Linked DNA regions of Arabidopsis thaliana. The protein of the gene in region 1 interacts with the protein of each later gene in a pairwise test. Each region holds a gene or a part of one and is shown in the gene's direction. Other genes may lie near its edges. The genes, in order: AT3G46600, BEE3 and DPA.

Region 1 (10,846 bases):
TGTGTTTATTAGGGTTTTAGAATGGTTTATCAGATTTGATTTGATATTACCGATCTGTGATTCTTGAATTGAATTGAGTCTTCTTATGGTTCTTGTTTCTTATATACTACAGATTGGTGAGTTTTATTCGCTGCTTATCGCTTGTGGCAATCACATCATCTGTGTTATGCATCCAAGTAATGGTGTCACATAAAGTCTTAGAATTTGGAGATGATGGTTACAAATTACCTGCTCAAGCTCGAGCTCCGAGATCACTCCGGGTAAATGACCCTTTGCTATATTCTCTGTTTAGCTGTTAAAGAATTTATCAGTTACATGAATGATCACTCGCATGTTTGTTCACATTTTTGCTAGAAGAAGCGCATTTACGAAAAGAAGATACCAGGAGATGATAAGATGTGCGCGATTGACTTATTGGCCACCGTAGCTGGAAGCTTGCTTCTCGAGAGCAAAAGTCCGGTAAACGCGTGTCTAGTTGTACAAAATACTGTAAAGAATGAATACCCGGCTGATGAAAACCCCGTAAAGGCGGTTCCTTATTCGGAATCCCCGAGCCTATTTGACAATGGCAAGTGTGGATTTAGCTCTGTGATAACAAATCCTAATCACTTGTTGGTAGGTGACAAAGTAGGAAAGGAGGTGGAGGGTTTTAGTAGTTTGGGTGTGAGTGGTGATGTAAAGCCTGATGTTGTAGCTAGTATAGGTAGTAACAGTAGTACCGAGGTGGGAGCATGTGGGAACGGTAGTCCCAACGAGTCTCGGGATGATGTAAATTTGTTTAGTAGAAATGATGATGATGAAAACTTTTCGGGTTACATTCGAACTCGTATGACTAGGCCTGTGCCTCGTATTGGAGACAGAAGAATTAGGAAGATATTGGCATCTAGACATTGGAAAGGAGGTTCGAAGAACAACACAGGTAAAATCGCCTTTTGTTTTAGTTTTGACTATCTTTATTATTGTGATTTGATGTTTGGTATTTGCAGATGCAAAGCCATGGTATTGCTCAAAGAGGAGTTATTACTTGCACCATCATCAGAGGAGTTATCCCATCAAGAAAAGGAAATACTTTGACAGTGTTTACGACTCGAACTCTGATGATTACCGTTTGCAAGGAAAGACTCATAAAGGTCCAAAACTTGTAATCTTCTCATTCTCTTGTTAGTATGTTGTAAGTCTTTGCTGTTGTAACACGGTTTTGCAAATTCATCCGCAGGAAGCAGAACAATATCTTCCATGAAAAGTCGAAATGCGTCCTTTGTGTCAAGGGATCATCATGGTAATTTAATGGAGTCTCAAGTCTCAATCTATCCTTTGTTCGCTTATTGTTTCGTTGAAATATTTTTGTTTTGTTTTGTTACTCTTTAGTGAAGCTGCGGATCAAGTCTTTTAGGGTGCCTGAGCTTTTCGTAGAGATTCCAGAAACTGCTACTGTTGGCTCCTTGAAGGTGTAATAACAAAACCTAGTTGTGCTGAAAATCCTGATCAAGAAGAACTTATATTTGTATTTTTGTAATGTCGGGGTTGTCAGCGGATGGTGATGGAAGCAGTGACCACCATACTGGGTGATGGACTTCGAGTCGGGCTGATGGTTCAAGGAAAGAAAGTCCGAGATGATGGCAAAACTCTTCTTCAGACTGGGATCTCTGAGGAGAACAACCACTTGGATTCTCTTGGTTTCAGCCTTGAACCTAGCTTAGAGACCACCCCTCAACCACTGTTATCCAGGTTCACTCTTCTCTTCACTCTCAGAGATGCCACATCGATAAAAAATCAATCTTTTGCGGCTTAAGGGCCTTGTTTTCTCTCTGCCAGTTATCTGTCAGATCATGCCTGTGATGATGTGACGTTATGCCACGACAATGCGTTGGATTCTAGTCATGAGCCAGAACCATCCCCAGCTGACTCATTTGGGAAACTAGGCACAAGTGATCATTCTAGAGCTTTGATTCCTGTTGCCTCAGCAGCAATGCTGGCTCCTCGGCCTCCTAACCGTAAGTTTAAAAGGACTGAGCAGCAGCTAGCTGCACAACGCAGAATTCGTCGACCTTTCTCAGTTACTGAAGTAGAAGCACTGGTCCAAGCCGTTGAGAAACTCGGAACCGGAAGGTACAAAACAAAGAAATAGCACTTTCTCTTCTTCATGTTGCTGACAAAATGTGTTTGAAAACTACAGGTGGAGAGATGTGAAGGTTCGTGCTTTCGAGGACGCAGACCATCGTACCTATGTTGATCTCAAGGTTAGTTAGTTTTTTAACTAACTCTTAACCTTAATATATACAGTTTGGTATTGAGTCTTTGCCTTTGTAGGATAAGTGGAAGACGCTGGTCCACACGGCAAGGATATCTCCACAACAGCGGAGAGGAGAGCCGGTGCCACAGGAACTTCTGGACCGTGTTTTGAAGGCACACGCTTACTGGTCACAACACCTAATGCATCAACTGCAGACTGAGCCACCATCCACTCAGGTAGAGGCTCTCTAATCTGAACAGGTTCTTGGTCTAAAGAACCTTTGTGTATTATTATGATGATCCATATTGTAAGATTCTGACATAGTTGAAGATCTGGTCTCAGTTCTTCTTTGTTTTTTTTTTTCTTTCTTTCAAATGTAAAGTTTTATAATTGGAAATAAGGTTGGGTTTTTTCTAACAATGTAAAGGATTTGTTGTAAATCTTTGGTGACATTTTTATTCTGTCTATATGATTTATGGCTCGGCCTATCATATCACAACGACAACGAACTGATATATATATACCTCATCCAAACTCTAGGAGTGCTGGAGAATTCAATTGTTGGATAAATTGTTACTCAAGCTGGTCTATGTTTGGTCAGTTTATGGTTCACATGTGTCCTATATTAGGAAAGAATACACAGAAGCTTGTGCTTGTGAGTGGTATGTGTGCTATGGTATTTACCTTAAATACGGGTCGTTCAGAGTAATAAGCTGGTCTCAAAGCCTCTTTTAAAGGCTATAGCCACAAACAAAGGCACAAAATCCTGGATCTCTAACCAGTAAAGAAGTCGATGTTGAACTAAAGTTCGCAAATATTTGCAGATAGCATTGAGTAGGCAAGCTCTTCCCACTTTTTTTTTTTTTTTTTTCACTGAACTGTTGCCTTTCATTGAATATTGGAGTTTGTGAAAAAATTTAAAGCAATTAGCAATAAAATCAAAAGGATATTGAAGTTTACATTTGGACCTGGACGAGATAATAGAGGATAACGTTCAATTTATTAGAAGTTATGATGACTGATATATTTACCGATTTAAAACTAATATATTTAGCAACTTGACGCAGCAAGAAAATTATGATTCTTAACTAATATACACCATATTATATATATTTAGAAGATTTAATTAATATTTAAAATTATGCTTTTTATTTGATTTTGTTTTAAATCGTCATATAATACATAAAATAAAATCAAAAAACAATTTTTTTTTATACATATATTGTGATTTTTAATTTTAAACACGGACACGTATTACCCAATTGACAAAATAATGTGTATGTTTAATGTTCCACATTGACTAAAATATTTAGACAATGATTCAGAATCATATCATATAATGAATATTTACAATAATAAAATAACTGGGTTTTTGTTGGAATGGGTTTTGCGGAACGGATTTTTGAATCTACATTAATAACAAATTAAAATATCATTAATCTGCCGTTTCAATACATATTAAATCTTTTTTTTAACACCACTAATATTATACATATCAAATCAGTCTGATTTAAAAAAATATATATAAAACCAAAATGTCTCATGGTATAATGTTACTATATAAAAATTGTAAATTATAAAATATTAATGTCTTAGAGAATTGTATAATTTTCAAACTTTTATATATAATAAATAATCATTAAATTTTAAAAATCACTACTTAAAAAAAAAAAAAAAATCAAGGGACAGGTTATACAATTAAGATTTACATCTTGTTTTTTTTTTGGAATTTTGGTGATGTGGTAACAGACTACTAAATAGTTTACGCGTATTATATGCAAAATAAATTATCAAACAAATATATTGTAGTAAATTATAAAATTTACTATATTATTATTTAAAAACTGAAATTTGCTTGTGTCTTGTAGAAAAAAAAACTGAACCAAAACAAACTTAATTTACTTCGAAGTTTTATATTTCGTTATACAAAAAGAAAAAGTCTAAATTTCTAAATACATTTAGAAAATATATTCAAGGTAATAACTAATAAGTCAAATATTTGACCAGACAAGTGACCAAAAGGAAGACAACAACAAGAAAACAAATAGCTTTTTAGCCATTTGGACCCACGACAGTAGATAAAGTCTTGGACATATTATTACTAACCTTTTGTGGCGGCTTAGTGTTTATCTTCAACCCCACACATTCTCTGTTTCCTCGAAACTTCATTTTTCTTCTTTGCCAAGACAAAGATTAAATAAGACAAATATCAACCCTATCCTTTGTTTATATCAACAACATCTCGCAACTTGTGTTCACATGAAACTTCTCACTACTCTCTTTCATTTCCTCTTTTCGTTGACTTACTAAAGTACTCTTGTTTCAATCTTCATTCTAGAGAGATTCTGTTTCATGGATGCTATTTTGCCAGTACCCGTTGATGGGTTCAGATTCGACACCGGTTCTGGATCTTGTTGCAAACCGAGGAACAATCTTGAATCTGGGACGACCAATCGTTTCACTTGTTTCAACGAATCTGAATCTCAGAGCAACCCTTCTCCGACCGAGTCTAAGGTATGTTCAGATTACCTTCCTGTCTTTAAGTACATCAATGACATGTTGATGGAAGAAGATCTTGAAGGTCAGTCTTGTATGTTGGAAGACAGTTTGGCTTTACAAGCCGCAGAGAGATCTTTCTTCGAAGTGCTTCAAGATCAAACTCCAATCTCGGGTGATCTAGAGGATGGTTCTCTTGGAAACTTCAGTTCTATAACGAGTTTGCATCAACCTGAAGTTTCAGAGGAGTCAACCAGAAGGTATCGACATAGGGATGATGATGAAGATGATGATCTTGAGAGTGGAAGGAAATCGAAGCTCCCTGCGATTTCTACGGTGGATGAGTTAGCAGAGAAGTTTGAGGAAGTGTTGTTGGTATGTCAAAAGAATGATCAGGGAGAAGCAACAGAGAAGAAAACAAGACACGTAAAAGGCTCATCGAATCGATACAAGCAGCAAAAGTCAGATCAGCCAGTAGATATGAGGAATCTTTTGATGCAATGCGCGCAAGCTGTGGCGAGTTTTGACCAGAGAAGAGCTTTTGAGAAACTGAAGGAGATAAGAGAACACTCTTCTCGCCACGGTGATGCGACTCAAAGACTTGGTTATCACTTTGCTGAGGCGCTTGAAGCTCGTATTACAGGAACCATGACTACACCAATATCTGCTACTTCTAGCAGAACATCAATGGTGGACATTTTGAAGGCGTACAAGGGATTTGTTCAGGCTTGCCCCACCTTAATAATGTGTTATTTCACTGCAAACAGAACAATCAATGAGCTTGCTTCCAAAGCAACCACACTTCACATCATTGATTTTGGGATTCTCTATGGATTTCAATGGCCTTGTCTGATACAAGCTTTGTCAAAACGTGACATCGGACCACCACTGCTCCGTGTGACTGGTATCGAGCTTCCTCAGTCAGGTTTCCGTCCATCAGAGCGGGTAGAAGAGACCGGGCGAAGACTAAAGAGGTTCTGTGACAAGTTCAATGTCCCGTTTGAGTACAGTTTCATAGCCAAGAATTGGGAGAACATAACTCTTGATGATCTGGTGATCAATAGTGGCGAGACAACAGTTGTCAACTGCATCCTCCGGCTACAATATACACCTGATGAAACCGTGTCCCTCAACTCACCGAGAGACACGGCTCTGAAACTATTCAGAGACATCAACCCTGACCTCTTTGTGTTTGCAGAGATTAACGGGACTTACAATTCACCCTTCTTCCTAACAAGGTTCAGAGAAGCTCTCTTCCATTGCTCGTCACTCTTTGACATGTATGAGACCACATTATCAGAAGACGACAATTGCAGGACACTGGTGGAGAGGGAACTAATCATAAGAGATGCAATGAGTGTGATAGCCTGTGAAGGGTCTGAGCGGTTTGCAAGGCCAGAGACCTACAAGCAATGGCAGGTTAGGATTCTAAGAGCAGGATTTAGACCAGCGAAACTAAGCAAACAGATAGTAAAGGACGGGAAAGAGATAGTGAAAGAACGTTACCACAAAGATTTTGTGATCGACAATGATAACCACTGGATGTTTCAGGGCTGGAAAGGAAGAGTCCTTTATGCTGTTTCTTGCTGGAAACCTGCTAAGAAGTAATAAAACAGTTCTGTAATCATTTGCATAATTTTGCTAGCTTTCCATTTCTTTGTTTTTGGTTTCAAAGTGTTGTAGAAACTGTTTGCTCTCATATATATTGAATGAGTCTCTCTCTTTCTCTCTACTTTCTTGCAAGTACATATGGCAAACCAAGAATTCAAAACTTATTTCAAAAAGATCCATAACTTTGAACTGAACAAACCAGTTTGCATATCAATGTGTCTGATGATAATACAGATGTTGTACGAAGATAAAAATTCACAATATAAACAGAGAGACTAGACAAACTAAAAAGAGTATTAAAGAACAAGAAAGTGATTACTTGGAAACTTTCTTCTTCCCTGTAATGGCAATTTTCTTGCCTTTAAGGGTCCTTGGATGCGCCTTACCCCACGGTAACCTTGTACAATGTGTTTTCGTCAGACTAAGGTCTATTCTTTTTGTCTGGTCGAGGACCCAAAAGATTAAGATCAATGGTGGCTCCATAAGTCTCAGCTGATTTAACAACCGCATCATATGGCTTAGAAGAGAGTTTAAGCCCTTCGTTTTGAGCCTTCACATGTAACTCATAAGCAAGCCTTGGCTTTGCATCATTTGCAAGAGCCTCAATCAACATCTCGTAAGTTATCTCGTTAGGCTCAACATTCTCACTTTTCATTCTATGAAACCACTCATAAGCCACACCACTTAACCCGTTCCTCGCGCAACCACTTATAACCGCGTTGAAAGTCACAACGCTCGGTTCAATACCCTTTGAAGCCATTTCCTTGAGAAGGGTATCCAAAAGATTGAACTTTTGCTGTCCTGTCAAAACTGAAGCCATTGTTGTGTACGCGTAAAGATTTGGCTCAATCCCTACCTTAATCATATGGTTCCAAACCCGAAACGCCTCATCATATAGCTTCCCTTTCTCAAGAGCACTGAGTAGTGCACCGTATGAGATGACCGTTGGCTTTTCACCATTGTCAACCATTGCTTTAAAGATTTGGATCGCAGCTGTGGTCTCAGAGGCTTTTGAACATGCTACAAGAACCGCGTTCCAATGTCTCCTCTGCGGTTTCAATCCTTTATCTTCCATTTTGTTAAGTAACCTAACTCCCCATCTCCATATCCCTCTCTTGCTAGCTGCACTCAGCAAGATATTGAAATGAGAGACCACTAACTCATAAGACAAATTGTTAGGTTCAGGTCCTTCGTCAAGAAGATCCTCGTAGATCTCCAACGCTGCCCACCATTTCTTAGCCTTACCCATCAGCCAAATCAAATGGTTGCAAACAGACAGACTTATCTCAGAAAACCTCTCTCTGATTCTTTTATACAACTCTTTACCAACAATATAATGCTCTTCACGAGTACATGCCCATATAAGCCTCTCGTGCTCTTCCCTACTCGGTCTAACCCCTGCACTGTCCATTGCATTCAAAAGCTTCAACACTCTAGTAGTCCAATTATCATCTTTCACCAACCACCGCCTCATCACTTGGTAGCATATTCTACCAATAAAGTTCTCAAGCTTAACAAACTCAAATTCCCAATCGTAACCAACATCATTCCCTATTTCCCTCTTTGCGTATTTCTCTCTCAATTCAACAAAGAACTCTAAAGCTCCCATACCGTCTTCCATTCTTCTGTAAACAAGCAAAGCCGTTGAATATGTAATCGGGTTAGGCTCAAAACCCTTTTCCTTGGTTAAATCAAGAATCCCAAGAGCCTTGAGAAACTCACCTTCCTCCATGTAAATAACCATCAAAGTATTGTAAGTAACAATGTTTGGAACAATCCCTTCTTCCTCCATATCTTTCAGTATCTTCTCTGCTTCCCCAAACCCTCTCATAGCACCCAAAAGGCTGTTATATATAAAAAGATTTGGACCTATGACACCGCCTGATTCACTCTTCTTCCTCTTAAGCCAATCTACTACAGCTACCGCAGGCTTCAATCTCTTGTCCTTGCCAAAACCCTTTATCATAGCACAAAAGACTTGCAGAGGCAACTCTCCCTTGTCCTTGAGAACAGCATCCACATCATCAGCTGTCTTAGCAGCTCGTAAACTAAACGCTAATTCTCTAACATCAACTCTTAAATTGTTCTTTTCTCCTCCATTTGCTGAACTTAAATCTTCCGTGGAAACTTCTTCTTCCCCGAGCTCGAGCTCTCGTTGCTCAGTGGCCCATCCTACCCCAAACGATGATCCCAACAAACTTCTCTTTGGCTCACACAAAAACAGAACTTTCCTGTTACTCGAAACGAAGATGAAGCTAGAGATACTACTACTACTACCGAAGCAAGCCTGTTCAAGAAAGCAAAGTCTCTTTCTAGTAGTCTTAGGGCTAACTACAAAACAAGAACAATCCAACTCAAATTCCAATCTTGATCCAACTAAAAGACCAGACTTTAATGGCAAAATGCTTAAAGCTTGCATCTTTTTCCAAACACAATCTCACAACTAGCGTTATGTAGCATGGAAGCGTCAAAAGACACACGATTTCACGCTTCAAAAGCGCAACGGAAGCACTCTCTTCCAATTTTGCAAAATCAGAAGCGCAAAGTTCTTTCAGAAACTGAAGCGTAAAGATCTCTTACAAATTAATATTGAACAAAAACGAAAATTGAGGAGGGCTTGAAAATAACTTCAATGGCGGATTCAGAGCCGCGAAGAAGAAGATAGAATTTTTGTCTTCTTTTCTTTATGTGAAAACTGAAAATAAAATACTATTGGGCTTATGGGCCTCAATTAAGCATGAGATTTAAAAAGCCTTTTCTACAAATTAAAAAATTGCTAAATTAATTGTTTTTTAGAAATGAAAAATGTAATTAAAATCCCCAACTTATTGAAAAAGTTGATTTGGATCTTTAACTCTCGATGAAACGAAATAAATATCAAACTTCTATTTTTCAAAAATAACAAACTTTCGTTGGTTAAATAGGTTAACATATCCCGTTAACGAAGTTAATTTTTTGTCAATATACATGTTAACTGAAAACGACATTGTTTTCTATAATAACAAAATGACGTCTTTTTGTCGTAACGGATGAACGAAATCCTTAAATTCAATCTTATATCTCTAAATCGAGCAAAATCCATGATCCTAAATTTTCATATAATTTGACACTCGGGATTTTATTGAACAATTACGACAAAACGATGTTGTTTATTGTGAGAGGAAATGCTATCGTTTTCAATTCACAGGTCTGTTAAAAGAAAATTAACTTTGTTAACATGCTCTGTTAACTTACTTAACATCATGTCTCAAATTTGAATAAACGTTGAGATATTAAAAAATCTTCAATAATATAGGAAAAGAAAACTATCTCTGGTCGTGCATCGTGTGCAAAGTAGTCCATTCTCTTTAGTTTTTCTTTTTGGGTTTTCCAATATATATCTTTAACTAAAACAGAAATTGTAATACTTTTCGTAAAACTAAGTTTTCATATAGTTGAATGGACAGTGATAGGTGTACTAAGATGAATGTGAGTAGTGGGAACTGAGAAGTCTTCATAGGCCATGTCTTGTAAGAACTCACATGCTCACATGTGGATATGAAATTGGTCCAAAGTGTTTTTTTTTTCTTTCATAAAACATTAAATGTTCTTTAGGTATTTGTCATTGGTCCCAAAATTTATTGTCTCTTTATATACATGTCTTTGATCCAACTAAATTATTGTTAGATGACCATTGACCACATTGTTCATATGGATCCTTCGTATTTTCCCCCTGTTTAGCATGTTCCTTTTCCATCTTGTCCTTGGACAATCTCAAAGTAGAAGGAAGAAACATAGTGATATGTCAAAAAGAGTAATTTCAATGTAAAGAGAAGTAATTGTATTTAATATCTTCAAATCACAATGAACAAAAGTTTTAGATGCAATAAATATCAATTTAATCTGTCTATATATGGTTCAAATATTCAAACAACAACAATCAATATTTTTTATGTTCATGATCCAAATAACACTTAGGGTTGGTAAAATTTCAAACATAAATTAATAGACATGTATATCAAAAAAGTTTTAACCGATTGGTAAAAAGATGACTTATGTCAAAGTATTAAAAAAATTCAATTTTTATTACAAATTTCAATTTTTTTTTACGTACAATATATATATATATATATATATATATATGATGCAACTAATATATTCTTCTATATATCAATGTAAAGAGAAATATAATTGTATTTTATATCATCAAAGATCACAACAATCTTCATGTAGTCTAGTTTTTTAAACAAAAGTTTTGGATGCTATAGATATAAAGCACATCAGAAACAAGCTCTCCTCAATCCAAGCAAGCGGAGACCGGCGTTACGACAATTGCTTTCAAATTTGGTTTGCATCAAGGAGCTAGAGGCGGAAGAGTCTGAAGTTTCTTTCTAAATTTTAAAATTTTCAAACATTTCTATACAAACATTGCACATTGTGTAAAAACGATTTTTCTTTGAATTTCTAATTTAACATTACCAATTTTTTTAAAACTAAAGTTATATGGATTGCCTGATTTTCAGCCTT
Region 2 (10,846 bases), on another chromosome or scaffold:
TATTAAAAAAATTATAAACACTGTTTTGGTACTCCCTTTTTGGAGTATATATACTCTACGTTAACTAATTTTCAAAGTAAATTATATATATATTTTTATAAAAAATCCCAAAAACATATGGATGTAAGTATAAATATCTAAATTCTAGTATATTATCTAGGCTGAATAACCCGAATATCGCAAATATATCTTTAAATATCTATATCAAGATTATCTAGGCTAATTAAGTTTATCTATGAAGAATTCGACTATATCAATTATATAATCTGAGGGGAATTAATGAGGAAATTGACTACTGACCTTGCTTGGAATCCTCCGGCGATAAAACGGCGAAGTTTCGGGCGTATGATCGTCAAAGTAAAAAGGGTCACTCGTATGAATGTAAATAGAGAAAAGACCTTCATGGCCTTTGAAAAATCTCTCCCACAGTTTAGCCAAAGGAAGCTTCCCTCTCGTCAGGAACATAAACGCCGCTTTCTTTGTCATCTTCAACGTCTTTTCTTGAATCTTCGAAGCACGTAGCAAGAGTTCCTCCTCCGTCATGTTATGCACCACGTTCTCCGGCATCATCAGATAATGACCCTTTTGCCCTACTTCATGGTCATCATCATTAGTCGCAACAACCGTATCATTCAAGGGAACGACTATTTCTGGCTGCGGTTGAAGCGGTGGTGTAGAGAAGGATGATGGGGAGAGTGAAGATAGACGAAAGAGTTGAGGATTGAAAGAGACGTTTCTTATATGGACGTTGAGTATGAAGCCGAGTCCGAATCCGAAACCGATAAGAAACGAATACAAGACGAGGTTTTGGAAGAATCTATGAGATCTTAATATCTTGGATATGACGATTTGGTGAAGTTGATGACGACTTTCTTGTTGAAGAGAGTCTTCTTGCGTTTCTTGGCTCTTTTTCATTATTTTGTGAGTCTGCTGAAACTAACAATTAGAACCGTGGGACGTTATATAGTCAAGGTTATGAATTTTAAAGAGACTTTTCGTCATTGGGTGTCTTTAAATATCTGATCTCACGGGCTTTGGATTTAACTAGAAACATTGAATTGACTTGTACAGGATTTTAGGGGTAGGGTTAATTCAATTGGTACACGACTTGGGTTTTATATAAACACGTTAACTTAGATTGTGACATTAAACATGAAGTAATGCTTGGTTAAGACATGTCGTGTGTCACCTATCTTTTATATTTTTATTACTTTTTTTGACAAGGCTCTGTTTCAACTTTCAAGTAATGAGAAACAACACAAGAGAATGTGTTTGGAAGACGAATTCTCAGTTTCTAACATGCAATTTCTTCTACACTCTCAAGTATTTAACCCTAAAACATATAAAACCGATGAACTAAAAATAATTTGTTCAACATCTCAAGACTGGGGTCACAGAAGAACACTCTACATAATCTGACCGTTAATGCGACTGATGATGGTATCTTCAGTAGAATGAGATGCTGTAGACCAGTTTCCGCCTGTGTTGTTTTTCAAAACCCGCAACAATGTCATCGATCGTATCTTCCCATGTTTCATTCCCTTCAATCTCTTGACAGAGTTCCAAGGCAAGTCGGCCACCTATAGCTGCTTCTTCGTGGTTATCTTTAACCTCCAAGTTCATCACAAGTATTGTTTTCGTAAGTGATTGTTCTCTGTTGTTGAGATCTGCAGATTGGGGACAAATCTAACTTGATGAGATAAAGATATTAAGACACAGGAATGTTTCACGCAGCAAGAAAACCGACAGTTCTATCAAACCATGATTGCAATCGGGTTTTCAGCTAACAATTACAGCAAGGTAAAAAAGTAAACTAAGTTACAGGAAACGGCAATCACTAAGCAGAACTTTTGAGTTTCACATGACTTAGACTTCATCAATTCACATATGTAAACATCTAACCTAACTAGTTTAACATAATTTACCAAATGAGAAGATTGTTCGGAAACAATGCATGTAGAAGATCAAAGTGTCAACATTTCGATTTTCTTCAAATGGGATAAGTTGATGAACAAATCTACTGATACCAGGATTTTTTTCTTCCAATGTTATAAGAGTTTGTGATCAATATGTACGTAGTGAGCAATCAGGATGAAGCAATTTTCAAACAAAGTATCTAACTGTAAAATAGGGAGGATTTTTCAATTACCTTCAAGGACTGAATCGAAAACCTTTTCTTCAAAAGTCATAACCACATCAAACACACCATCACCAGCATTATCTTGCCATCTTTGAGGAGCAAGTTTCACGGATAAATTCCTCTTAATCATCTGCAAAATACCATTCCGCTTGTATCTGATGAAAACAGTTAAGTGCATCAAACTTCAAGCTTACAAATCTCCCTATACAACCCAATGAACATGCTTCACAATAGCTACAAGCAAGAAATTTCGTATATTTACTAAAACGCACACACTTTTTCTTCAGTCATTTGGAGAGAAGAAAACATACTTTTTCCCAGAATCAATACCTTAAATCAAACCAAGAAACTTAAATGTGAATTAGGAAACAATTTCAAGGAGACTAAGAAAGTAAGCAAATTATCGAATTAGAAGGAGACTGAGACTGATTCAGTGACCAAAGCAAACTTAGGGATTCGAAAAATCATGATCCGTAAGCAACAAAAGAAAGGAACGGATTAAGAGGATACAGTTCAGGATCTTTGCGCCTGAGCTCATCGAACATCTGCTTGTAAGGAGTTCCAAAGTCGTAAACGTTTGGCTCTCTCAGAGATGGTCCAGGTAGTTTTACATGTGACCCAGTCCCGTACGAAGCAACGTCGAGTCCTTGTCTCTTAAGAAGAGCGTGAGCTTCCATGCTCCGGTTCTGATTCGACGAACAAACCATTGCGTACCGGAACCTCATCGGCGGCGTCGAAGAAATCTGTGATTTTTTCCCGGCGACTGTGACGGTTTCACAAGTTAAAAGTCGATTTCAGAGATTTTTAATAATGCGACGGATTGAATTGGGCCTGAAACTGATCATGGGCCGGACTAAGAGATCGAATATTTTTTTTCATTTTTGCTTTTATTGACCCACGAAAATTGTTTGGTTTTACATTTAAGCTACTAATCAACATCACAAGAGAGGACTACCTACCAATCAACATCACAACAGAGACGATTGCCTAAACCGGGTCGGCCTGGACTCCAAGGTCGTAGAGGAGGCGGCTATACAAGTACCGGGACCGGTACAGGAGCCGGTTCAAGAACTTTTGGATTAAACGGAAGCGAACCAAACAGTTTTAAGAGTAGAAGAAGTAGTGGACGTGGAGCGGCTGGACATGATGATAGCATCGTTGAGGAGTACTCGAGGAACTCCATTTCGATGTCTTCCTTCGCCGAAGGTAGATGAATATGAAGATCAAAACATGTAAGGTCACCCATATTTACGTGTATATATATATAAAGAGACAAAGAAGAGGACCTTTTAAATTATATGTTTATGGATCGTTCGTTATATTTGAGATCTTAATACATAATTTGATATGAATTAGCAACAGAAGAAAATTTGTATTTTCGAAGTTTATGTTTATTTTGCGTAATCGAGTCTGATTTAGTGGAGCTGTATTAGGCAAACCTAGGTAATATGTCTTTCAAAGTAATAATTTTTATAGGTACGATAATTTCAACTTCAAGTTCCATCTTCCTAAAGAGGAACAGCTTGGCACCAACCTAATTACAGACTATAGGACTTTTTGTTTTCTAAGTAAAGAGATAATTAATTAATGACCATAACAAAAGTTGAACAAGCTAAGTATTATTACTAAGGAAGTTTAGTTTCACATGCAAAGAAGTCGAACTACCGGTTTTTTTTTATCAGAGTTTTCTTTAAAACCAAAACTAAGCTATGTAGTCTTATACTATGTGATATCGTTTTCCGGTTCCGTTCTATTTGTTGATTTTTTTCGATTGGGTGTATCATGTGTGTAACAAGTCAGGTACATGCCTAAAACCCATCAAACTAATAAACCTCAAAATGTATTTAAAATTGAAGACAAAACATTTTTTAGTAAAATTCTTTTGAATGTTTAGTAGTTACTACTCTTTTAGTTTTTATGGTCTCAAATTTTACAAATTTTTTTTTTGACTTTTTCTTTCTTTTTTTTTTTTTTTTTTTTGCCATCAATTGACTTTTTCTTTCTTACAATTATGTTTTTGTTATTTGTTTTGTTTTTTTAGACCCAGTAATACACTCATGGTCGGGCCTGGTATGTTATGTAAAGTTTGATATGTAGCATACATCTTGTATTCAGTTACTGTTTTCCTCAGTTATGTCGTTTTTGGATTTCTTTCTTCAAGTTGGGGTTTGCTATTTGTTTCAGTTGTAAATCAAAAACTTTGAATTGGCTGCTATTTTTGTCCAACACTATTAGGGACTAAAGACTCGTTCAAAATCTTATATATGTCGTCTGTTCCTAAAAAGCTTTGGAAATTCAAGGGGTTTTATTTTATCAAAAAGAATTAAAAAATCAAGGGGTTTAAAAAGATTGTCGAACAATTATTCAAAAGATTTGACCATTTATGCTTGTTATCAGCACTTCCGGTGTGTCAATTAGTTAAGTACTGTATTAAAAATAACAATGCCTAAAGTCAAAACAACAAGTTAGATTGAGTCTTGAATGCATATGTAACTGCATGTGATTTGATCAGTTGAAAATGGTATATAGTGATAGGTCAATTTACTTAATTTGATAGGAACCTAATTGTACTATATAGTAAAATATACCAGAAAGAAAAACGTTTTCAGAAGTCTAGAGACACCAAACCAAGTTAAAACGAACTTATATTGATTTCGACATTTTAAGTTTCAACTTAGACCACATTTTAAATTTCAAAGTAGACCTAGCTAAGTTAATTAATTATGTTTATTCAATAAACTATAAATATAGATAAATCGATCATGACATGTATTCTGCTACTAGTTTGTGGCAAGGTGGTCGATACGTCTTAATTCGGATGTAAATCTGCATAATCCACATATTGTTTTCCAAAAAAAAAAAAAATTATAAATAGCCAACATTAATTTAGCTCGTATACTATCACATCACATTATAAGTATCATACAAAAATATTTCTTTTGTTTAACATAAATAGGTACTATTTAACTAAAAATGTTAATACTATTTGAAACCAGTGAATATCATCAATCAAACTATTCTTGAATATAATCCATACAACTTTTTATTCTTCTTACCAAAGTGTTTAATACTAAACGGTAAAATAACTAAAACTGTATAACCAATGAAATCTTAAATCCATATAGCAAATGCAATCAATGTACGATAATAGGATTGGATTACTCGCTCGTTGGTCACAAATCACAATAGACTAGAAGAAGAAAGCAGAAAAGGGAGCACCAATTGAAATAAAATACTTTGTTGAGGAGGTCTTAAGTAAGTACTTCCCCCTTGAGAAATAATGAAAGAAGTTTGCTTAAACAGTGCTCACTGGTCCGGCTACCAAACGTTGGCCCACTTCTCTATTTGGATATATCTCCTGATAAATTATGTGTGACCCACTCCTATACAAAAATCCCATAACTCTCACTTTCATTGGCCCTCCTTTTTTATTTTCTCATCTTTTTGATTAACCCCACTTTTATTCCAATTTTTTTCAAAAAAATAATAATAAGAAAACTCTAGTCTATATATAAACATTGCCACTCGCTCGAAAACAGCCACTTTCTATTTTCACCAATTTTCAAAAAAAAAATAAAAATTGAAACTCAGAAATGGCGAATCTCTCTTCTGATTTTCAGACATTTACAATGGATGATCCCATAAGACAACTAGCAGAACTGAGCAACACGCTTCATCATTTCCAAACATTTCCTCCTCCTTTCTCTTCTTCTCTCGATTCTCTTTTCTTTCATAATCAATTCCCTGATCATTTTCCCGGAAAATCTCTCGAGAATAATTTTCATCAAGGGATATTCTTCCCTTCTAATATCCAAAACAACGAAGAGTCTTCTTCACAATTCGATACCAAGAAGAGAAAATCATTAATGGAAGCTGTTTCTACGTCGGAGAACAGTGTCTCTGATCAAACTCTCTCTACCTCTTCTGCTCAAGTTTCCATAAATGGAAATATTTCGACAAAAAATGTATTTTATTAACCTAGAAACCCTAATTTCACACACATATATTAGAGTACTCTCAGTTTCTATGAATTAATCTAACTTTGTTTTTCTCTTTTTTCTTATTGATATCACAGAATTCTTCAAGGAGAGGGAAGAGGTCGAAGAATAGAGAAGAAGAGAAAGAGAGAGAAGTTGTTCATGTTAGAGCTAGAAGAGGCCAAGCCACTGATAGCCACAGCATAGCAGAACGGGTAAAATTGATTTTCTCTATACAAATTATAGTGTACATAAATAATATAAATGAAAACTATGAGTAAAAAAATTAAAATTAACTTTCAGGTTCGACGAGGGAAAATAAACGAGAGATTGAAATGCTTGCAAGATATAGTCCCCGGATGTTATAAGGTGATTATATTTTGCTTAGACTTTAAGAAAATATATTATTAGTTCTTTTATTGAATATATATTTGGTGATGCAGACAATGGGAATGGCTACTATGCTTGATGAGATAATTAATTACGTCCAGTCCTTACAAAATCAAGTCGAGGTATAACAATAACAATTAATTTCTCTTAAGTTATAGGTCATCTAACCAATTCCATTCGTTTCAATAATTATACTAATTTACTTTCTTTTTTATGTGAACTCAGTTTTTATCTATGAAGCTTACAGCAGCAAGTTCGTATTATGACTTTAACTCGGAGACTGATGCTGTGGAATCCATGCAGGTACAGAATCTAGAATTATAACTTTTAATTAAAATTTTCTCGTAAGACTGGTGATGTTTGCTATGATTTATTTATTTCTTAATTTAACTATATGGTTTGATGTGATTATAATTAGATGATTTAAATATCGATTTTTAATTGGAATATTAAAATGCGCAGAAGGCAAAGGCACGTGAGGCAGTGGAGATGGGTCAAGGGAGGGATGGGAGTTCTGTCTTCCATTCATCATCGTGGACCCTTTGACTTTTGTTTTTTGCTCTCCTTTTTTTGTCTTTCTAATTTTCTTCCTTTTTTTGGATTTAAAAAGATACTTTTAAAGATTAATTTCAAGAAATCTCGATGCCATATGATATGTATACTTGTGTAACTTCGACATTACAAATATATATACTGCCTCGAGATTGCATTCAAAGTGGGGATACATAACGATCAAAATTTTACCGAGCAGACAAAAGTCGGAACCACAATGAATTAGTGTCAGTCTATCCAACCATATTTTTGACATAAGTTTTAGTAAGATCCCACAATAATTTTGACAATATGATTGATTCTTAAAGTGTTTTGAAAGTTGTAGAAGCGAAGCCTCCTCATCAATCACACTTTAGAGAATAGTAATGAGGAATGTTATTTCGGCTTAGCTAGTTAAAAACTATAATACGATTAGTGTATAATAAGTTCGAATATAAGCCTATAAGGCAGTTTATAGAAAATATAAATCATGTTGTCACGTAAATGTAGTATCAAACATTCAAACTTATTATTTTTTTGTATGAAACAAAGAAATATATATCAATGTTAGTAAAAAACAAGGAAAAATACATATAATCTCTTCAAATTTTCAAATCAGCCACAGCTGGAAAGCCTTGAACGTCCAAAACAATAGTCATCAAATCTCAGTTTTAAGAAAAATAAAAAGAATATTTAATATTTGGAAGTGTCTACATTATATTTACAACAATATAGATTAAATTTTTGCATCAGCAACTTTGATTGAGGTCAAATAAAGACAAGCAAAGATGATAAACTTGAACAACAACTGGACTTGGACATCAGGAGCAGTGGAAGAAAATGACAAAAATACCCTTCACTTGTTACTATCGAAAGAAAGACATAATGATGTATGTCTCCGAAACGAAACACAACGACAAAGAGAGGTTTTATGCAATTTGTGAAAGAATGTGGATTGTAGACTTTGAAGGGACGTGTTTAATCGTTGAACAACCAAAGATTTTTCTTCCTTTTTTTGTGTGGACTATGTACTTATCTAAACATAGCTTTAATTTCCTTTTATTGAATGAATTATTGCATGAATGACGGTTCCATAGTTCATAGACTGTGATTGATGTTCCCAATTCATTGTAAACATGATTGGGAAGAACATTTGTGAAACTTCTAAATATCTGTTCTTCTTTTAGCATGTAATAATACTACTAGTTTGTATTACTATTAGTGTTTCTGTTTCATCATCAATAATATTAAATTTCATTTTCCTTTAGTCCATTTGGTCAAATTTATCCATGGCATGTGTACTCATAAATGGTCAAACTTATAAGAGAAAACTCCAAAAAGTGGAAGTGGATGATCCATGGCATGTGTTGCTCTCAAAATGGTTGTGCCTTAGTCTAGAGCTTTAAAGATGAATTAATCTCAAAATAAATTAGTCGAAAGCAGAAGATAAAACTTGAACATAGAAAAGGAAAAATTATATATAACGAGGAAAAAGAAAAAGGGGAAATAGATGCAATGTATGCATCCATGAAACTAGGGAGGACAGCTTGAAATGGACCATTACATGCCCTAAAGAAGATGGAAATATGTGGGGCTTTTTTCTTCATTTTCATCTTATTGCATATATTTTTATATAAAAAATACATCAAAATGCCTAATTTTGAATAGTTCAATTGCATAGTGGTTGATTGTTTCTAGTTCTACAGGGATATTACTTTTATTACAACATGGTCTATGAAAAAAATGATTTACCTTTTGGAAATGATCAACAAATCAATGAATCCAAACTTTCTAAGATATAAGTTTAAAGGTTCTCTTTCATGGTTAGACCTTAGAACAAATGTTTAACACATTAATCAAAAAAATGAAAAATAATTCAATATATTGTTGAAGGGGATAGTTTTGGGAAACAAATAAATATTTGGGACCAACAAGTATTCTATTAATAGATTTGGTGATCACATCATTTGGTGGCAGAGAACAAAAATGGGCAAGTTCAAGGATCCAAAAACATTGTGGGAACCACCAACCACCAAAATTTTGGAAGTGACTCCATTTGAATGTGGAGGAGTTGTTTAGCTCCTCAAATCTCTGAAGTCTTAACACTTAAGACACTTAACCCACAAAATCTTCAATTCCACTTTTAAGTATTCTTAATACTTTCTTAATATTTTAAGTCATATCTACTAAAACAATTGTAGTAACAGTACAGCACCAGAAACATGCAGACGATTTTATTTTTCTTAGAAAATTTATGATCAAAACATGTATGCAATTACGATTTTCTTCGCATAATTTGTTTTCCTTGGAACAACTGCAATAAAAGAGTGAAAAAAGAGTCTGCAAAACAACTGTAAGCAAGATTTCGTAACTTTGAAATTCAGGAAGAAAATTGTTACTGAACATTAAATCAAAGAGAACACATAAATTTTCTCCAGGGGATATGACCAAAGGTATTTAGTGATACCTTGAACTTTGAAAAAATCTAATTACTTTTCTTCTTTTTACAAATTATCCCAAACTTAACTCAGGCCTTACATTCAAAGCCAAAACCTGTCTCTTCAAAGTTCTAACATGGAGGAGACCAAGCGATTATCTATGAGATTCACTGTCGGAGAATCTGTTGAAGCTGAAGGACTTGGTTTCTCTGTTCTGGTGGCAGCAGATTGATCTGCTCTGGTGTAAGGCTCATCACTTGTTGAAGTAGTGCCTTCTCCATCTCTGCAGATATCTGCACAAGTAAGAAAAACACAATCATCAGCAAAAAATAACAAAAGCTCTTTGCTCTGTAATCAGAAATTCTCATTTTGAATTCCGGCAAAAGACAACTACAACATCTACTGGAAAGGAACGTCGAATTTGATTGATTTGGGGGGGCTAATAAAACTACAGAGTCATCGACATGAATATACATCCTAGCAGTAACAGCGGTTCAATGGCTGTGCCTTGCAGTTAAAAGATAAATTACCGGTGCAGGGCGAGGTGGTGGGCCACCTCCAGGCCCAACTTGGCTTGGTGGAGGCACCGGTCCTAAGCCTGGCAGATGAGTAATGTTCGAGCTCTCTGATTGGCCAGCCATCCAAGAAGGACCTCTGTCTTGAGCCATCAGACCTGCTAATTGGTTATTGTTGTAGTCTCCACGATATTGACCTCCTCCCTGAAACAATAAACAAGATTACAAGCAGTGAGACCCAAAAGCAAAACCAAAAAGATGTAGAGTTTCCATTTAGATGATTTATTAATCTAAAGCAGAACATGATTTTAACGGAATCAGAACTAGAAGTCTAGAAATATGATGATAGCTTGACAATGAAAAAAGATGAGAAGAATTATTGCCAGAAGAAATCATTTCTCATATCTGATTAAGAATAACAATGATAGATGTTTGAGAGAATTCTCATTAAAGGGTAATCTCTACTCGTTGAAGGTGTAGTGCTCGGAAGAAAGCACATAGATAAAGCAACATAATTTCATACTCAGTCTGCAAAACATCAAACATATCGCCTAAAGGTCAAAAAGTAAGAGTATCAATACCTGATATGTTGGCTGACTAGGCAGATGTGGCTGTCCCTGCGGGAATTGAGGTCCACCGGAAGCAGGGGGTCTGTTGCCTGACTGCAAAATTGGCTCAAATAACGAGTTCTAGTCAGTCAAAAACTTCATAATTCACAATGAGGGAAATAAAAGGAAACCGACAATAGCTACTCATAAGTCATAACTCTGACTCACATGATACATGGGTTGAGAAAGATGCTGAGTAGGTGCGCCATGGTGCTGAAATCCAGTGTTTGGACCAGTTTGAGCTTGT
Region 3 (10,846 bases), on another chromosome or scaffold:
GAACCACAATCTCTAAAACTGGTCCAGTCCCATCAAAGTATGCTTCAATATTTGCTTCTTCCGGAATCCGATTCGGCAATTGTATCTCCCTCATGAATTCCCCTGGAGGACAATGCTCAGCCATCTGATCAACCAGCTTGAAAGTCCGGTCCCGTCTCTTCACAAACGAAGCCCTCGAAGTGCTTAGTCCCGTGACCTTCACGATTCCATTTGTGATATTGTTCCTCCATGAAACCTTCACGGTGTTCAAATCCACAAATGGTAGAGTTATTACGACCAGATAAGCTTCTTCGTCCTCATAGACGGTTTTTGCAGCAGTTACAGGTCCGCAGCTATTCTTCATCACTCCCGTGAAGTCGTTTACCCAACTGGGCGGGTCCTTGGCGTGGTGGGTCTCGATGTTGTTAACAGTCAAACAGCATTCTTCTTCGCTGCTTCCAGGAGATAGAAACTCTTTTCTCTTCTTGTTGTTGATGACTCCTCCTCCTGGAGATTGATCAGACGAGTCCCCATTGCTACTGAAAGACGCATTGCTTGTCAAATGTAAGCCGGAGCCATTGAGAATCTTCTTGGCGTTATTCGGTGCTGCTTTAGTAACATGAGCTGGTCTCTCTAGCTCGATGTCTGTGTTGGGAAGATTTCTCCATGAACCGAAATCACTAGCATCAGGAGGGATAGTGAACTTCAAATCTCGACCCGTGAGCTCCATCCATCTCTTCTTATCTTCTTCACCGACACCAAACAAACTCGGCGAAGCCACAAACTCAATCCCGTGAAGACACTGAGGATTAGAGAGTCCCCTGTAATGCTTCCTCTGCATTCTGTGAGACCGAACAAACCCTTTCTCCGCACTAAACGGAAACGGACGCTCACCTTGACGAGAATGCCCATTCATATAGCTTCTCAACTGCATTTTCCCAAGCGCATTCTCAGGTTTATCCTTAAAAGCCCACATATACATGTTCTCCATATCATGCTGAACAAGAAAAACATCGAGCTTGAGATCAGATTTATCAAACCCAGTAAAACATCCTCCTCCTCCTCCTCCACCACCACCACTTTCCCTAATGACCTTAGACTTGGATTTCTCATTCAACGCCGGTCTGAAGTAGAAGCTAAAGAAAAACCAAGCTCCCCACATACTATCCCCTCGTTTCAAACACTTCTTAGCTACTTTACTCGGGACCACATTGAGAAACGTCTCGGTCTCATAGACATGAGAGCTAAGACCAACATCCAAAATGTTATCACAAGAATCCAAATTCCAAGAAGGAGAGCTTCTTCCTACAGACAAAGGCAGATTAATGTCTGGTGGATTATAAAGAGTGATTTGCCTATTACCATTGTTCATCTCCAAATCAAGCTCTTCATGAGATGAGCCACTAGAATCCATAGATAAAAGCGTTGACGGATGATGATTCTCCATTGACAAAACAGTAAGAATTGAACCTTTCATTTTTCAAAATCTACAACCTTGCTTTTTCTTCAATCCACCACAAGATCTCCCAAATCCCAGATCTCCCAATTAACCCACATATTGATTAAGATCCAGAATCTCGATTCCCAGGAAGACACAAACAAATAAAAAAACCTCTTTCACTCTCAAAGAAAGATGAAGAGATTTTAAAAGTGGCAGAGACTGCTAGAGGAAGACAATATCCAACCCTAACCCTAGAATTTCCCGAAATCCCCCAAAAAGCGGCGGGAAACTCCGACTCAAACCCATCCGAGAGATATACATATCGAAACTAAAAATCTTCCCTTTTTTACATTCAAAGTATCACAACCTAAAAAAAAACAGACCTTTAAGAACGAAGAACCTCTAAGAAGCTAAACCCAGAAAATACCTTTTGAGAGAAGCAACAATGAATCGTGACGGGTTCCACAGTGAAGAACACAAAAGCTCCCCCATTTTCACTAAACTTATCAAAATCCAATCTTTTTATTCTTCTTCAAAGACTTGTTTTTGGTGTTAGTGAGAAAGCTTCTCTCTTTTGGAAACGGTGGGGGAGGAGAGGTGTTTATGTAAGAAGAAGATTGGATTAAGGGGAAGGTTCGTTCGTGGCTGAGTGAAAGAGAAAAAGAGAGAAGGAGCCTGAACTAGATACCACCTGATCCCCACTCTCTCTCTCTATCTCTTATTAACTAGTCTTATTTTTATAGGTTCCATCTAGACAAATTAAACAATGTTTCTTTTTCTCTCTTACGATTTTATGCTTTGCTTATCGTGGTGTTACATGTGCTTATCAACCAATAAATTTGATAATTAAAACCGGTTTGCGGAATTTTTTAATTAGATAAACAAAATAAAAAGCTTCATATCATTCAAATGCCAAAAATAATTAAGGGAAATAAACCGGTTAACTTTTGTCTTTTCAAAAAAAAAAAGTAATATTTAATCATCTTGTAATAAACCGAATTTCGCATCTATCTTGTTACAAGCAACAACTTTTTATATATCAAGAATAGAATTATGATGTGTCTTGAGTTTGATGTGAGTAATTGAATTTTATGTGTATGATATATGTATGATTTCTCGTTACCGATGTGTATATGATTTTTTTGTATGTATTGTATATGTAGCGAAAACTCTTGTTTGTGATAGGTGTTGTTATAATCTTGCTAGATAGTTGTGGTCTATGTGGAGACATTGTTGGTGATTAGTTGAGTGATATGATTACTAATCCTAAAATATTATTTAAATCAATTGTAGTGACGAATTGCATTATTGTGCCCCCAGTGAGTGTAACAAAATTAATACTATTTTTTATGTATAGTTATTTATCCATTGAAGTAGGATTATGCGTCATCATCAGTGTTTAGTATACATCGGCCTACGAATTTAATTAACTAATCCAGCTTTGTTGACTATCTAAGTGTATTATAAATTCTAAAACAATCGAATCAAAGAGTTTGAGGATAACTACGAGGACAACATATTTTTTACTTTAAAAAAAAAAAATGCATTTTGAGTCAGTTTTATGAGTATCATATTAGCTTGTTGATGTATTTCACCATGTCAGTTTTTAATTTATGAAGGCGAGTAATGATTGTGTAAAAACAATTTTGGGCAAACATAGGAAAAATATAAAAAACATATTAAATTTCCAAAATTAAATAAATAGTCTATTACTCTACTAGATTTCAGATGTTAAGAAAGAAAAAGCTACTGGAATAAATACGCATACCATATGATACGGTAACATTATTTTGTTTATTGTATGTTCAGTTCCTCAAGGGACACTTGAACATTATGAATAATATATTTACTGCAATAGATATAATTGTTTATGTGATATAAACGAAAGTTGACAAAAAAAGAAGACTAATTAAAGAGTAGAATTAGTGAACCAAAAAAAAGAGAAGAAAGAATCAAACATGACTTTAAAAACTCAATAATTGAGATCTGAGAAGACATTGAAGATGACCCCAAAAAGATATTGGGAGTTGCCACCTCTCATCTCCCAAAACAACGACAGATATACAAACAGCAAACAAACATTTAAATAGATCACACTATTTCTTTTTTTTGTAATGACAAAACATATATTTATATATTCTGACAACACATAGAAACATCAAAGTAAACAAATCAAATTTGAAGTTATATTGTTTCAAAATCTTATGATAGTGCATAGCTATGAATAGCATGAGGAATTGATTAGTCCATACCGGTCTGATTAAGGTATACGAGAAGGAAGGTATACATAAAGGTTAAACAAAAAAAGAGGTGAAGAAGAGAAACATGGCTAGTGAAACTCTAAACGGTTGGAAATGATGATGAAGCAATGAGTAAGAGAATGACTCTCCGCAATCAAGCAGCGTAGGAACTAGGAACAGCTTTGGTTCTCATGGCCATGCTCCAAACTTTCTTATCAACTCGAACTAGTTAAAACTACAAACAAAATAATTTAATTTAATCTTCATATGGAGAGAAAAAAAACAATCATGGAGAACAAGTGGCAAGTACCAAGTGGTTGCAATTATCATAAACATATCCTTTTTCAAACTTTAAAGCTTTTAATCGGTTAACAACTTGAACAAACAGTTATGCTGAAATTTATCATATAGTTTTCAGTACTATACGAGTACGATCATCGTATAAAGAAGAAAAAGAAAAAGGATCAAGCAACTATGCATATATTCTTTCGATCTAGTGAAAGTGCAACGCAACCTTCTCACACGTTGCAGGCTTAAAGCACTAACGTGTAAAACTATAAGCATCTTAGAAAAGAAATAAAAAGTATATGAGAATAGTGAGTTTTTTTTTTTAATAGTTACAAGTTGATGATACGGACCATGTCTTATATATAAGACGAAAAAATCATAAACTTTATAAGCTAGCGATAATGTTTTCAATAACTTAAATGCATACGTACCAAACATTTTTTCAAGATTCAGTGAACTTAATATTATTATTTTTTAAACAATTGGATCGAATACAAACACAACTGTCAACATATGTAATAGAGACAGCCAAATTTTCATTATTTATTTGGTAACGTTATCGATTATCAAAGAGTTTAATACGTGATCGATTTTAGACATATAATTAGCCCAACGGGCTTAAAATTACAAAGAGTTACAAAAGGCCCATTTAAATCCCCCGCCAAAGTTGAAAAACGACACCGTAGCGGTTGGGTTCGAACACAGAGAGTGCGTGTGTTTTGTTTTTGTTGAGGCTTTTGATGGGCTATGGAGAATTCTGTGTTTGTTTGTTGTTACAGTTTGTTTGTTTGTTTATAGCGGGAACTCTCACCCAAAGTAATTTCATCTCCGATTTTTTTTTTTTGGTTGTTGTTCGCATCTCTGTGTAATAAAAAGAGTAAAACCAAAACCCTAGAAAAAAAATCTCCATCTTTTTTTATTCCGCCATTGGAAGATCGATCACTGGTTCGTTCTTTGATCTTTTGAAACGGATTCGAGCTTTAGCCTTTATTTCTCTGAACTAGGGTTTTCTTCACCATCGTTAGATCTAATCCAACTGGTTGATGATTCCCATTTCATAAATTTTGTTTAGCTTTTGTTAAAAAATTGAAATTGGAGCTGTCAACAATTTAGGGTTTTTTAGATTGTGTCTATTGATTCATCGGTTTTAGTCAACGATGGATTTGAGACATGAACAACTAATTGATTTGATTTCGTGTAGCTAACTTTGTTAATTGGTAAATTGTGTAGAGAAGGATGAGTATGGAGATGGAGTTGTTTGTCACTCCAGAGAAGCAGAGGCAACATCCTTCAGTGAGCGTTGAGAAAACTCCAGTGAGAAGGAAATTGATTGTTGATGATGATTCTGAAATTGGGTCAGTGTTAATTATTCTTCTTACTCACAAAGTCTCTGGTTTTTTTACTTGGAGCTAAAATGTCTGTATTGAATTTGTGTTTAAAAGATCAGAGAAGAAAGGGCAATCAAGAACTTCTGGAGGCGGGCTTCGTCAATTCAGTGTTATGGGTCAGTGATATATCTCTCTTAGCTCAAACATGCCTGAAGTGAAAGTATTGTTGTTTTGCTGATTTTGATTTAACTTCACACAGTTTGTCAGAAGTTGGAAGCCAAGAAGATAACTACTTACAAGGAGGTATTACTCTCTTTGTTCCATTAAGGAATTGGTGATGTAATCAATGAGTTTTCAGTTTAAGACGCATTAGAATTGATCTTTATATGAACAAGTATTCACTTCAAGAAGCAATCCTCTAAGTTAGTTGTTGAGCATTGTCTCAAATTCTTCTTCTAATCAGGAGTCTTGCCCTTATATAGAGGCATTGTATCAGAAAATGTGAAAATCTACGTTTGAGACTGTGGCTCTTGTGATTCCAGGTTGCAGACGAAATTATTTCAGATTTTGCCACAATTAAGCAAAACGCAGAGAAGCCTTTGAATGAAAATGAGGTATAGCGAGATGGAAAGCTCATATCATCTGTCTTGAGTTATTTGGAAAAAAAAAAAGCTATAACAACATTCTCTTATGTTCAATCAGTACAATGAGAAGAACATAAGGCGGAGAGTCTACGATGCGCTCAATGTGTTCATGGCGTTGGATATTATTGCAAGGGATAAAAAGGAAATCCGGTGGAAAGGACTTCCTATTACCTGCAAAAAGGATGTGGAAGAAGTCAAGGTTTAGCTTCCAAGCTTTTCCTTTCAGTTATCTCATCTATGTAATTGCTCTCTCTCTTCGTCTTCTCTACTAATCTCTCTACCTCTATTTGCAGATGGATCGTAATAAAGTTATGAGCAGTGTGCAAAAGAAGGCTGCTTTTCTTAAAGAGTTGAGAGAAAAGGTGATCTTCTTTCTGTTTGATGGAAAATTTAAATACAAGACTCTCTTAGAATTTGAGATCTTGTTATGCATGTCAATAGATGACAAAAGTTATTGATATTGCAGGTTTTCTAGAATCCATAGATACGTCGTGTATTGAATCATTTTATGTTGTCTTAATGAAATGTTAAACCGTCTTTCTACGTTTTGCTTATAATGTTACTCAAATGTTGTTATCATCAGGTCTCAAGTCTTGAGAGTCTTATGTCGAGAAATCAAGAGATGGTTGTGAAGACTCAAGGCCCAGCAGAAGGATTTACCTTACCATTCATTCTACTTGAGGTACTTCAAAAATCTCTTTCTCGTCCGTAGTTTCTATTTCATGTTTTTCGATATCCTAATCTATTTCCATCTCTATAGACAAACCCTCACGCAGTAGTCGAAATCGAGATTTCTGAAGATATGCAACTTGTACACCTCGACTTCAATAGGTAAAAATAAACAACATTTCTTCTCAAAATCAAAATCAGTTCTGCTATCTCTTAAATCGGAATTGAAATCTTCGTAAATTTTGTTGTGAGCAGCACACCTTTCTCGGTCCATGATGATGCTTACATTTTGAAACTGATGCAAGAACAGAAGCAAGAACAGAACAGAGTATCTTCTTCTTCATCTACACATCACCAATCTCAACATAGCTCCGCTCATTCTTCATCCAGTTCTTGCATTGCTTCTGGAACCTCAGGCCCGGTTTGCTGGAACTCGGGATCCATTGATACTCGCTGACCGAGCTTCTATTCCCAAATTCTTCAAGAAGAAGAAGTAATGATCTAATTGGTATACTAAAAAATTATACATCTGGTTTAGTGTTCAATTGAGAGAGACTGTAAAATCAATTCATAGGCCAACAAATGTTTGTTTATCCAATTTTCCTTTTTATTCGAACTTGATGCGATATTTCAACGGAAACAGAAACTATTGTTTTAAACCAAAACTAACCGTGTTGAATCTATTGGCTATTTTCCTTCTGTTTGATTGGTCTAACAAATTTAGTCTCCGGTTAGGTTGGTTTACCGAAGCTAGTTAGATTCAATTTACGCGCTTAAATGGCGCGTGTGCTAGGAAAGTTCAAAATTTGCAATTCCCATGCAAAAATAATGTTTTTTGTCTGGAAAAGGAAAAAAAGAGACATCGCGGCGGTTCGAGGGAAAGAAAAGCGAAATTGGTTGGGGACACTTCGGAAGAATGTTGGACTGTTTTTCAATTGCCGTCAAAATAAATACTATATACTATTCTTTTCATCAACTTAATCTACTCATTCTCAATACATTTTAAATCAATATCATCTAATATTATTTAGTAATTAGTGTTGGCCCATTTTAGTCCAATCTATTAGTTACTTGTTTAGTTAAAGTTGAGGTATATAGACGTACTAAAATTCAAGCACAACCAATTTCTCTTCTGTATAATTAGATTTGTAGCTGATATAGTCCACAAAAGCAGTAGATATCATATCAGCCCTAATTTTCTTATAGAACAACTAAGATATATCACAATTGCAGTTTTCTCTTGAATACCACTAAGTACTAACGTCACCTAGATCCAATCCTAACGTTTATCATCTTTTATTTTATTTTTCGATTTTTTGCATGCTAATTAAAACGTTTCTAAATATCTTGACGTACATCAATGTTTTCTGATTTTTACTGACTTTAAAGTTTAAACCATACAACCAGTCAAGCTAAGTGCTTTTTTCTTTTATTTTCTAAAACTGTGTATATGTATAATTTGCACACATAGTACAGAAGTAGCAGTATTGCCAGAAAGAGAGAATCAGAAAGAAACTTATGGGTTAAGCAATCGGACACACTCACTCTCCTCCACCTTCCCAAAACCCTAAGCAAATATGTATATAATATATAAAACAAAAAGAGCCTCGCAATAACACTGTGGACACACTCAATTCTTATTTTATTCATCTATATATATAATTAATATGATATTCAAACATATTCTATATATATATATATATGTGTATATGTGTGGGTATGTATATAAATGAATAAAGGTTCTTCCTTTACCTTTGCCTTCTCTCTCTATCTTTCGCTAAGCTCTCATCTCCTCTTCTTTCCTCTCTCTAAAGCTCTTCCCTTTGTTTTTATTGATGTAATTCTCCACTTCTTCATATAAGCCTTCACCAAAAAAAAAATCAGCTTTAAATCCTTTATTTGCTCAAAAAAAAACAGAAAACTAAAGAGAGAAGATATCATCAAAGAAGAAAGATCAAAGATGGTTTTTTCTTCATTTCCTACTTATCCTGATCATTCATCAAACTGGCAACAACAAGTAAGTTCATGATCCGATTATCTCTTCTTTTACTCTAAATGGCTTTTGTTGGCTTTCTTTGGTTTTATAATTTATGAGTACTCAAGAACCAATTTAAAGAAGAAGAAAAAAAAACATAAAGAGAGATTAAACAAACAAGAAAAAAGGATAATAATATTCTTGTTCCTTTTGTCACTTTTAATCTTTGTATATCTGTGGTTGAATTTGAATATACTCATAAAATTAATTCTTTCTTTCCTTCTTTATCAAAATTTTCACATATTCTAAAAACTTTTTGTGTTGTTTTTGAATCATTTCTTCCTCTCTTTAGCATCAACCAATCACAACCACCGTTGGATTCACGGGAAATAACATCAACCAACAGTTTCTTCCTCACCATCCCCTCCCACCGCAACAGCAACAAACGCCTCCGCAGCTTCACCACAACAACGGTAACGGCGGAGTCGCTGTTCCCGGTGGACCTGGCGGGTTAATCCGACCAGGTTCGATGGCGGAAAGAGCAAGGCTAGCCAACATACCATTACCTGAAACAGCCTTGAAGTGTCCAAGATGTGACTCAACTAACACCAAATTCTGTTACTTCAACAACTACAGTCTCACTCAACCTCGCCACTTCTGCAAAGCATGCCGTCGTTACTGGACACGTGGCGGTGCTCTAAGGAGCGTTCCCGTCGGTGGCGGTTGCCGTAGAAACAAAAGAACCAAAAACAGCAGCGGTGGAGGTGGCGGTAGCACCAGTAGCGGTAACAGCAAGTCACAAGACAGCGCCACGAGCAACGACCAATACCACCACCGAGCCATGGCTAACAATCAGATGGGACCACCTTCTTCGTCATCGTCTCTAAGCTCGTTGCTGTCTTCTTACAACGCAGGGTTAATCCCCGGACATGATCATAACAGCAATAACAACAACATACTTGGACTTGGATCATCTTTGCCTCCTCTTAAGCTTATGCCTCCTTTAGACTTCACAGACAACTTCACCTTACAATACGGTGCCGTTTCAGCTCCTTCTTATCATATAGGCGGTGGAAGCAGTGGAGGAGCGGCGGCTCTTTTAAACGGTTTTGACCAGTGGAGATTCCCGGCAACAAACCAACTTCCTTTAGGCGGTTTAGACCCGTTTGATCAACAACATCAAATGGAGCAGCAGAATCCAGGTTACGGATTGGTTACCGGGTCGGGTCAGTATCGACCTAAGAACATTTTCCATAACCTTATCTCCTCTTCTTCGTCTGCTTCATCAGCTATGGTTACAGCCACCGCGTCGCAATTAGCTTCAGTGAAAATGGAAGATAGTAACAATCAGCTCAACTTGTCTAGACAACTTTTTGGAGACGAACAACAGCTCTGGAATATTCATGGCGCTGCTGCAGCATCCACCGCAGCTGCAACAAGTTCGTGGAGTGAAGTCTCTAATAATTTCAGTTCTTCTTCTACTAGCAATATATAAACAATCATCTCTCTAAGTGATCAATATATGTGATGATGCAATTATGCTTTTATTAGTTTCTTATTGGGTGTGGTATGATCTTATGTACTTAGTTTGAAGTTAGTACATCGATCGATCTATACTAGGTTTTTGTTTTTTCTATTAAATTTTCGTTACTAGTTTTGGGTTTTCTTTTTTGGATTTTCTATTAAAATTAGGGTTTTTTTTCTGTTGCAGAATTTATTTTTCATTTTTCAGTATGAAGATATCATCATACATGCGTGTAATGTGTTCTATTATATAACATATTTTTATTTATTCAAAATTTTGAATGAGGTTATATATACATATTCTCCTGTTGTTGTTTTTTTTTTAATTGAAATCTCTAACCAACTTAGCTTGCAGCACATTAATCAAAGTATTTCTGTCGCAGCAGCTATAACCATGATCCATATCATTAGCTACGAGAAGGCATAATATTAAGAATCCATTTTTTTGTTGGAATTTAGAGATAACATTTTTTAGTTTAACCATGAAAAAGTATGACAACACTTGGAATTAAAATGTCTGAAAACTAAAATGGAATTTTAAATCGGTGACCTTTAGTTTCTGTCAAAAAATTATCTATTTTAATCTATGACATTCAAAAGCACATTACCAAAAGAACATTACCAGTTCCGGATTATTCACCTAAAGACTTGATTATACTACGTACATGTGACTTGTACGTGCTTTATGTTTCTTTTTAAGCCATATGAACTGAACTACATGTCACCAAATATTGTGGAGAGCTTTTGAGTCTAATATC

The links.
Region 2: the proteins of AT3G46600 (region 1) and BEE3 interact in a two-hybrid assay, tested with the Arabidopsis thaliana proteins (one large-scale study listed by BioGRID).
Region 3: the proteins of AT3G46600 (region 1) and DPA interact in a two-hybrid assay, tested with the Arabidopsis thaliana proteins (one large-scale study listed by BioGRID).

What each region holds. Positions count from the first base shown.
Region 1 is NC_003074.8:17,153,463-17,164,308, forward strand, and holds AT3G46600 (GRAS family transcription factor), read left to right. Parts: upstream 1-4,461; 5' UTR 4,462-4,585; coding exon 4,586-6,337; 3' UTR 6,338-6,503; downstream 6,504-10,846. Other genes in the region: TRFL1 (TRF-like 1), read left to right, coding at 180-260, 355-919, 987-1,130, 1,217-1,279, 1,369-1,448, 1,532-1,728, 1,816-2,109, 2,177-2,240 and 1 more; AT3G46610 (Pentatricopeptide repeat (PPR-like) superfamily protein), read right to left, coding at 6,762-8,759. UniProt on the Arabidopsis thaliana protein: Probable transcription factor involved in plant development.
Region 2 is NC_003070.9:27,754,294-27,765,139, forward strand, and holds BEE3 (BR enhanced expression 3), read left to right. Parts: upstream 1-5,647; 5' UTR 5,648-5,733; coding exon 5,734-6,105; intron 6,106-6,215; coding exon 6,216-6,332; intron 6,333-6,420; coding exon 6,421-6,486; intron 6,487-6,560; coding exon 6,561-6,629; intron 6,630-6,732; coding exon 6,733-6,810; intron 6,811-6,969; coding exon 6,970-7,053; 3' UTR 7,054-7,263; downstream 7,264-10,846. Other genes in the region: AT1G73810 (Core-2/I-branching beta-1,6-N-acetylglucosaminyltransferase family protein), read right to left, coding at 301-915; AT1G73820 (Ssu72-like family protein), read right to left, coding at 1,447-1,667, 2,150-2,295, 2,651-2,903, 3,100-3,109; ESP1 (hydroxyproline-rich glycoprotein family protein), read right to left, coding at 9,644-9,769, 10,007-10,195, 10,573-10,653, 10,768-10,846. UniProt on the Arabidopsis thaliana protein: Positive regulator of brassinosteroid signaling.
Region 3 is NC_003076.8:538,762-549,607, reverse strand, and holds DPA (Transcription factor DP), read left to right. Parts: upstream 1-4,652; 5' UTR 4,653-4,893; exon of another isoform or gene 4,894-5,178; 5' UTR 5,179-5,184; coding exon 5,185-5,303; intron 5,304-5,390; coding exon 5,391-5,452; intron 5,453-5,535; coding exon 5,536-5,579; intron 5,580-5,818; coding exon 5,819-5,890; intron 5,891-5,978; coding exon 5,979-6,119; intron 6,120-6,213; coding exon 6,214-6,282; intron 6,283-6,503; coding exon 6,504-6,602; intron 6,603-6,680; coding exon 6,681-6,751; intron 6,752-6,844; coding exon 6,845-7,046; 3' UTR 7,047-7,290; downstream 7,291-10,846. Other genes in the region: AT5G02480 (HSP20-like chaperones superfamily protein), read right to left, coding at 1-1,456; AT5G02460 (Dof-type zinc finger DNA-binding family protein), read left to right, coding at 8,550-8,606, 8,917-10,059. UniProt on the Arabidopsis thaliana protein: Involved in the regulation of the G1/S transition. Increases the DNA binding and the transactivation activities of E2F proteins after heterodimerization. The complex DPA/E2FA promotes cell division and acts as a regulator of the endocycle.